Linked DNA regions of Xenopus tropicalis. The protein of the gene in region 2 purifies or fractionates together with the protein of the main gene of each other region. This does not show direct contact. Links are inferred from orthologs where the notes say so. Each region holds a gene or a part of one and is shown on either strand. Other genes may lie near its edges.

Region 1 (4,344 bases), on a different chromosome or scaffold from region 2:
AAATAGACACATACTGTATGGACAGAATTATCAACACTGGAATTTAAGCATTATCGAAATTTGAGCTAATTTATTAAAATATAAATATTAAATATATAAAAACATTACAATGCAAATCAGACACAATGAAATCTCATTTTGCCCTTCATTTTCAGGTCTGCCCAATTTCCAATTAGTCCCGGAAACTGAAATTGAAAAATAGCTTGAATTTTGAAAATGGAACTCCTTTTGACTGTATAAACTTGACCGCATGTAGGTGACAAATAATTTTTGAGTTTATTTTTTTTGTGCTTAATAAATCTTGAAAATTTGAGTTTCGAAACTGAAAATTTTTGCTGCAAAAAACACAGATCACAGTAAAAAGTTAACTTTGAATATTGATAAACCTGCCCCACAGACAACATGACCAAGCAGATTCTGCTGTGATTTGGGCATTGATAAAGTCTTAACTAGCTACAAACCATGTATTTTTTTACTGAATAATTTACAACATGTAGATACCATTATACAGTGTGAATGCCATTATAATTAAGGGACTTAATGTGAATGTATTCCAAATGATTTTGCTGTCAACATTTATCTTTCCAATTATAGATATGTGGCTATTTAATATTCATTTTTATTGTTCTCTTTTGCATCACTGCATTGCCCATGATGCTCGTCTTCCTGTGTTTAATGGGTAATGTTAGTACTTTCCAGTAGGGACTGGATGTACGTTCAGCAGCAATCACTGATGGCCATCTGTAAACTTGATTCTTTATGGAGAGAGCCCCAATGACTTTCACTACAAAGGGCTCCACGGATGCTCTGCATTAAAAAGCTATTTGTAGGAAATTGGGTAAGGTGCTTTTTGTACACACTTTAGAAAGGAATTTATATAAAAGCTTTTTGTAGGCATTTAATAAGAAGTAGTAAAAAAAATTGGCCCATTTTCTGTGCCATCTAAGGAGTTCTTATAGCATATATAGACCGAGTGCTCTAATTAAGAAACACTAGCATTACATTTCATGCTGCTAGGATGTGAAAGAGCATACATTTAGGGGCTGATTTACTAACCCACGAATCCGAATTGGAAAATTTCCGATTGGTAAACGAACATTTTGCGACTTTTTCGTATTTTTTGCTTTTTTTTCGTAGCCGTTACGACTTTTTCGTAAATTGTCGCAACTTTTTCGCAACCATTACGACTTGCGCGAATTGTCGCAAATTTTTCGTAGCCGTTACGATTTGCTCGTATCTTGTTGCGACTTTTTCATATTGAGCGCTCGTAAACTGCGGGCAAAACTTTCAGACTTAGCATGATTTTGGAAGCCTCCCATAGGACTCAATGGCACTCTGCAGCTCCAACCTGGCCCAAGAAAAGTCACGATACTAAAGCTTGAATGAATCCGAAACTTTCATACTCGGCGCGAAGGCTACGAAAAAGTTGCAACATTTAGCGCAATTCGTAACGGCTACAAAAAAGTCGCGACATTATGCGAAAAAGTCGTAACGGCTACAAAAAAATCACGACAATTTCCGAAAAAATCGCAAAATACCGATCATTACGAAAAAAACGCATTCGGATGCCTTCGGGCCGTTCGTGGATTAGTAAATGTGCCACTTAGGATCCAAAGTGAAATGGGCACAAGATTGTATTTACCTTTAATGATAATTACAGGCATGGGTCCTTGGACCTGTTATCCAGAATGCTTGGGACCTGGTGTTTTCTGGATAAGGGGTAGCCGTTACGATTTGCTCGTATATTGTCGCGACTTTTTCGTATTGAGCGCTCGTAAACGGCGGGCAAACCTTTCAGACTTTGCATGATTTTGGAAGCCTCCCATAGGACTCAATGGCACTCTGCAGCTCCAACCTGGCCCAAGGAAAGTCACAATACTGAAGCTTGAATGAATCCGAAACTTTCATACTCGGCGCGACGGCTACGAAAAAGTCGCGACAATTCGTGCAAATCGTAATGGCTACGAAAAAGGCGCAACAATTTACGGAAAAGTCGTAACGGCTACGAAAAAGTTGCAACAATTTATGGAAAAATCGCAAAATACCGATCATTATGAAAAAAACGCATTCGGATGCCTTCGGAGGGGACTGACATGAAACAGCAATCTGTCAACTCTCAAGGAACAGCTAAAGCAAAAGATATGTGGGTTGTGTTACATCCCCAAAAGTGAACAGTACACAATGGAATTTTGATTCCATCTACTGATGGGTCAGTGTGGGTCCATTCCCATTGCTGTAGGTGGTTCACCCTGTAAATCTCTAAGCATGCCATACAATTTAAAAGGGCTATCAGTGCATTAACTAGAGATTGTGGGCTCCCCTTGCAGACACTGCTTGCATTGGAATCTCTATAAGGGTTGGGCAGGGGGCATATATATATATATTACATTTTCTATGAAAAAAAAACAAAACATTTTTGGGTGGAAGTAAGGTTGCAAGTTCATGTAAATGTAAAAATGCTTTTAGAATATCCAGCAGAAGAGCTGCACTGATTGTAATTAACTGAAATTAAGTCAGCTTGAAATCACTATAAGCCAATAATTTGCAATTATTTGATGTGTCCCCGATTGTTCAAGTTGTTTGAAATGTAGAGTAAGCTTAAATTACAAATAGGTTGTTGTTAAAGAATATGGCCTTGCAAAATTTCAATCAAAAATGTCTACTGAAAAAAAAATACAATACACACCATAGCTACCAAAGAGGTAGCATTTACTGGTCTGCTGGTTGAAAAGAATTCTATTATATGTTGTTCTAGAACAGTAACAGCAAAAAAATTTATTAAAAAAATAAAAACTACACCCTCTAACTAATACCCATGTCCAGCTGCATTGTATTTATTTACCTTCTATTTGGCAAAAAAATCCCAAGTAAATCTCCTCACCATGGTATGGATACAGTTTTGAAGAAAGGTGATATGGCGACTAGCCCCTCAGTGTGTGCGCGCCCCCGACATCTCTCCTGTTTACATGACATCCGGCTGTAACCAGGAAGTGCAGCGTTGCCCTGCTGAAACAAGCTGAAGGGATGGCCGGTGGGAGGAGAGGCAGACAGATGGAATGGCTGCTGAAGGGGAGAAAGGCTGGCCGGTGGGAGGAGATGCAGACAGATGGAATGGCTGCTGAAGGGGAGACAGGCTGGCCGGTGGGAGGAGATGCAGACAGATGGAATGGCTGCTGAAGGGGAGAAAGGCTGGCCGGTGGGAGGAGAGGCAGACAGATGGAATGGCTGCTGAAGGGGAGACACCTGACAGGCTGGCCGGCGGGAGGAGAGGCAGACAGATGGAATGGCTGCTGAAGGGCGAGAAACGCTGCTGGGATCAGAACAGGAGCAATGTTTGTGTCAGTGCTCTTCATATAGCAACAGAAAGCAGGCTTTGTACCTGTAAGGATTGCAACACATTTAGGATTTGTGTTTTCGGCTACATATCAGCACTATATAAAGAAAGTCTTTAGCTGACTATTTTCTGAAATCTGGATATGCAAATTAGGCATTGATTTGGTTCAGGCTTTCACTATAATATTTTGGGGAAGATTTAAGATTCAGCAAAATCAATGATGAAATAATGGATTCAGTGCATCCCTTGTATATGCGGTCAACAATGGCAGAAGAAGATATTTGGAGAATCAAGACAGGGGTACTAGTGTTCTGATATATTTCCTTTCCTGACATTTAGCCATTGATCCTCTACTTGCCAGAAATTCACGTTTGGTTGTTTGGAGCCTAAATTAGTCTATGCTCAGGTAAAAATGGAGTTTGAACAGAAAGTGAGATGGTATTTAGAGTACAAGCCTAATTTTTAAGCCAGAGGCAACAGGCAAGGCAAGAAAAATGGCCATAAAGTATCTTGTGTCATACCTCCCAACTGTCCCGCTTTACGCGGGACAGTCCCGATTTTGCTACCCCGTCCCGCTGTCCCGGATAGCCGCCGATCTGTCCCGCTTTTAAAGGTCTCCCGCATGACGTCACACGCACGTTTTCCCTTAGCGCCGCAGTTCTGCTCAGTTCAGTTCTAACATAAAGTCCTTCACAGTGCAGAAGCTGCGGCGCTAACAGGTGCGTGTGACGTCACGAGGAGGAGAAGGAGAGCCCTGGGGCGCAGCCGGATGGTGGTAGGAGCAGGGGGATGCTGGGGAAGACACTGGAGGTAAGGGGCAGCTGGAGAATGTTGGGGAGGACGCTGGGGGGAGCTTGAGAATGTTGGGGAGGATGCTGGGGGGAGCTTGAGAATATTGGGGAGGACGCTGGGGGGAGCTTGAGAATGTTGGGGAGGACGCTGGGGGAAGCTGGAGAATGTTGGGGAGGACGCTGGGAGGAGCTGGAGGATGTTGGGGAGGACGCTGGGGG
Region 2 (4,463 bases):
CAGCACTTGTGTCCCAGGAAATGCTACACTCTGCACTTGGCTTCAGATTGAAAACCAGGCACAAGGAGCATAGTGCGGCATCACAAGGTGTAGGCTTGCCCTGTCCTTACCACAGTGCCCTTATATGACCTGGGTCTTTTGTCACTCTCTAACTTATATGTCTAAAAGATGCGCAAGTTAGGGACAGGTAGGGGTAAGAAACATAGGCGCCTCCAATATAGCACCAACAAGCTCACCTCACCAATACAGCACTCCAAAACAGAACACAGTGACCTGCTGCAATTCGCAAAGACCAAAAGGCTGTGTGCAAGACACACCCATCCGGGCCTTTTTTTTTTGCACTTTGCAGATGGTTGTTTGTTATCTAAAATGATCCCTAATTCATTATCATTTTCTCCAAGAATTGTTCAGAAGAAAATATTTGACTAGAAATAGGAAACTTCTGAAACTACAGATGAAGCCAGCTGAAGATCTGTGACTGCTGGTGGGCAAAAGGCTTCTTTTGCCAGCATTACACTATGCTTAAGTACGTTTATTATCAATCATTTTCAGGAAAACACTGCATTTACAAATGTAAACATATAAAATGCCACATATCTAAAAAAGTTTGTTTTGTCAAAAAAAAGTCTTAACATGTAGTACCCCACTCTTTTAAGGGTATCATGAATCCTACTGCTTATCTTCCAAGTGTCTTCTATAGTTCATTAAAGTTGCATATGTTACACAATACAGAATGTTTATCAAATTTAAATATGGTGCATGTTTAATTGCTTACCTCTTTCTAGACGGAGCTCAAAGTTTACAGGTTCTTTGGATGTGCTTGATTCAATTCTTACAGATCGTACTGAAAACCATAAAGGCCAAAGGAATAATAAAATAAAATTATGAAATGTGAGTCATAAATGCATTTAGTTAACTGCAGAGAGCAAAAACACCAGTAAGTATAAAGATAAATGAAGAGTTCAACCATGTGGGAAAAAGAGTTACAGAGGAGGTTTACCTTTAAAACAATTTTAGTATGTTGTCGATAGACCTATTTTAAGCAACTTTTCAAACGGTCTACTTTCTTATTTATTCTGGTTTTTAATTATTCGCTATCCTACTTCTTTCTGCCCTGCAACAAAAAAAATCTCTGTGTTTTATGGGGTCACTGATCCAGCAGCCATACTTTATATTTCACCATTTTTGCATTGTTATCCCACTACTTTCATCTTCCATCCTAACATCTAAACTGATGCCTGATTTCCTAGACAGGTAAGCCTTAGCAACCAGTTAAAATTCAAAGCCTGAGAGTGGCACAATGAAAAATATAAATTTATGGGCTTCTAGGGAACAACCTATACTTTTATTGCATTATAATATTATGACATGAAGTAAAGTTGAAATACATGGTACGATCAGTTACACAATAATATTCAAAGTTAACTGCCAAAGATGAAGAAGCAAAAACTAAATTTATGATTTCTCCATTTTACCTAATGAGCTCTGGAGGATGATCTTGTTAATTTTCTGAATGCCATTCAAACTGATTATGAATTCTTGAGGATACATACCAGTCGTTGTCCAGAATGTGTCTGGGTTTCTAAACAAAACATAACATAATTATGTAACTGTATGAGAGAAAAACAAAGTCTGAACAGTATTATCTGGTTGAGCCCAACATACCAATGCAACCAGGTACATACTAGGATCTGAAGTAGGCCCTGATAGACTCCTGCGCAATTTTTGAAACCCAACCCAGACCTCTGCCCTGCATTTTTACGTGCTTTGGCCCTTTACCTGATCTGCAACTGCCTTACCCACAACCTGACCACTAATAAACAGGAAGTGACATCGTGAGAAGTAGGTGGGGAAAAAATAACACATTTATAGAAACCACTTGTGCATCAATGTTTTGAGTGACGCAAGCTCCTTCAAATATTTTACAATTACAGTGCTGACAGGGCCGGTCAAAGTAACTAATCAGTGGCTTGAGGGGGGTGGCATATGGGACATAACTGTTCAGTTTGCTACTGAATCTGACCTGCGTGCTCACAAACTAACTGAACAGTTATGTCCCATGTCCCTAGCCCCCTAGCCCCCCCCCCCCCCCCGTAAAGTCACTGACTAACTAAAGGCTGCCATACACGGGCCAATTCTAGCTGCCGATATCGGTCCTTTAAGACCAATTCGCCAGCTTATCGGCCCATGTATGGGCACTAAAGACGGGTCTGCCCGACCAACATCTGGCCTGAAATGGGGCAGATATTGATCGGGCAGGTTTAAAAATCAGTTGGATCCTGCAGATGCCTATGTTGGCCAAACGACCGAATTAGCCAGATATCGCCCACCCATAGTTGGGGATATCAAGAGAACATCCACTTGCTTGGCAACCTCGCCAAGCGAGCAGATCTTAGTGTGTATGGCCACCATAAGAGGTTAGAGAGCTGAAAGCAAAAAGTAAAGTTCTGGCTATTATGTTAGACATCTGCCCACTCCAGCCTTTATAGATTACATTTTTGCCTAATTATATTGCAAAAATTTTGTATTTTGCGCAGGCCATCCATTTTACCCAGTTTCATTTTTACACTGAACTATTTCTTTAATGTCTAGGTCCTCTATTTATTTGTATGCTATTAGTTATTTATCAGTACTTGCCCAAGCTCAAGCACTATAACACACACTACAGCTTTTAGAAAAATTGCAAACAGGAACATTTTGCCACAGGTAGCCAACAAAAACTACTGGGAACATTACATTGTGAGAATAATATCCCCGCAGCAGCCGGCATGGCTGTACTACTAATGGAGAAAGCCTGAGCACATCAATACCCACCCGTCTATAATGTTGTCTGCCGGGTGTCTGTCATCGCTGCTGGTAGCCAGTGTGACCCGGGCTCCGGCACAACTCAGGCACAAGTCCCCTGCCCGTGTCATGCTCAGGCCGTGGCTTTGGCGTGGAACTAACAAGCAGCCCCTTCACATTCGCTCCACTTACTTTCCCCCCTGTTGTTACGCCGTTGCCTAGCAATTTGGAACGTCTTCCGGTGCCAGAGCTGTGTTCCCGAGTTAGCGTATATAGTGTGCGCGGCCGGGGGGGAAGGTTCCGTAGAGCAGACGTTCCGGGTGCAGTTTACTGGTCTCTGCAGAGAGGTGAGTCTCTGGTTTTATAGTTTATGTGTAAATATTGTCCGTTATGGTGTCACCATGAGCGTGTGGTGATCAAAACTCACACTCGGAAGTTTTTTTTTTTATTCTTTATGCTTGTGGATTTGAGATGGGAAGCTCCTTCATTTCCTAGGAGAATTAGCATTTGATTTAGACTGTAAACCGATTGGAATAGGAAGTTACTGTACAGCGCTGCCTTGAATTACAGAACCATTAACATTCATTTTGAATCAAGGGTTTGTGTGCGGTCATGCACGACACCCAACTTACAGCATGTGTATTCAGTAAATATCATCTTTGATGGTAATCTTACACAAAAAAGAACTTTAATATAATGCACCGTTACCTTGTAATTATCACTGTTTTATATTGACATTCTTATGAACTAGCCTAGTTTTAGCCAGTGCAGGACTGTAGGGTCCAAAGAAGTTGTTAGAAAACAACAGTGTTAGGCTATAGCTCTGCTTTTTCCTTTTTGAATTATAATCACCTTTGCATTCTTAATTTACTTTGTTTATAAAGGCACCCATTGCTAATATGTGTTCCCTTGCTCTATCTGCACATATGGACTCTACATTTTCTTTTACATTGGCAATATATATCTTATTAAAGATGGTCATATATATTATTATATATATTGTTTTCCATAGCCCCTTTTTCATTGTGATTTATTTCATCTAGATGTATGGGGTGAGATTTACAGCTCAGTGTTTCAATTTAGTCTTATTTTTATCTTGTTTCAGGACAAGCTAGATTTTGTAAGCATATAAATATATAAAGAGTCTGCATGAGTCACAATTTTAATTGGAAATAAATAGCTTTGACCTAAATACTTTCTAGTGAAAACCTCTGTCATTCAGACAAGATGCAGTGTCCTTAATAAACAGCAGTGAAACAAAACTACTTAGTTTTTGCGGATGAAAGGTAAGGTGAGATCACTTCTAATAAACTGAAGGGGCATTACCCTATTACACCAATAAACAATTGCTAAGTTAGAATGGAATATTACATTTGCTTAAAACTTTTTTTCTTTTCCTGTAAGAAGATGTTTCAGTGCCTTGAGCCAGAGAGGAACGAGGAGACAGGACCGGTTTATGTGCGAGAGAGAGGAAAGCTGTCAGTTGTTGGGTCACATGTCTCTGAGCTCAGGACTCGCCCATGCCGCCTTTTCTCTAAAGGATTCTCAGTGGAACTATGTGGGAAGCAAGAAGATACCTCAAGACACAGGCAGAAACCTTTTATTTTTACATATACTAAGGAGGGAAGCTTACGCTACTCTGCCAAGTCACTCTTTACCCTGACACTTGATCTAATCAC

What was found.
Region 1: the proteins of hspb11 (region 2) and ift22 purify together in Homo sapiens (affinity purification with mass spectrometry; 3 studies listed by BioGRID and IntAct, with this or other methods). This does not show direct contact. The link is inferred for Xenopus tropicalis from reciprocal best matches to the Homo sapiens genes IFT25 and IFT22.

What each region holds. Positions count from the first base shown.
Region 1 is NC_030678.2:47,033,235-47,037,578, reverse strand, and holds the start of ift22 (intraflagellar transport protein 22 homolog), read right to left. Parts: upstream 2,911-4,344; 5' UTR 2,882-2,910; exon of another isoform or gene 2,843-2,881; intron 1-2,842. UniProt on the Homo sapiens protein: Small GTPase-like component of the intraflagellar transport (IFT) complex B.
Region 2 is NC_030680.2:97,386,609-97,391,071, forward strand, and holds the start of hspb11 (intraflagellar transport protein 25 homolog), read right to left. Parts: upstream 3,017-4,463; 5' UTR 2,916-3,016; coding exon 2,815-2,915; intron 1,583-2,814; coding exon 1,476-1,582; intron 845-1,475; coding exon 776-844; intron 1-775. Other genes in the region: lrrc42 (leucine-rich repeat-containing protein 42), read left to right, coding at 4,192-4,463. UniProt on the Homo sapiens protein: Component of the IFT complex B required for sonic hedgehog/SHH signaling.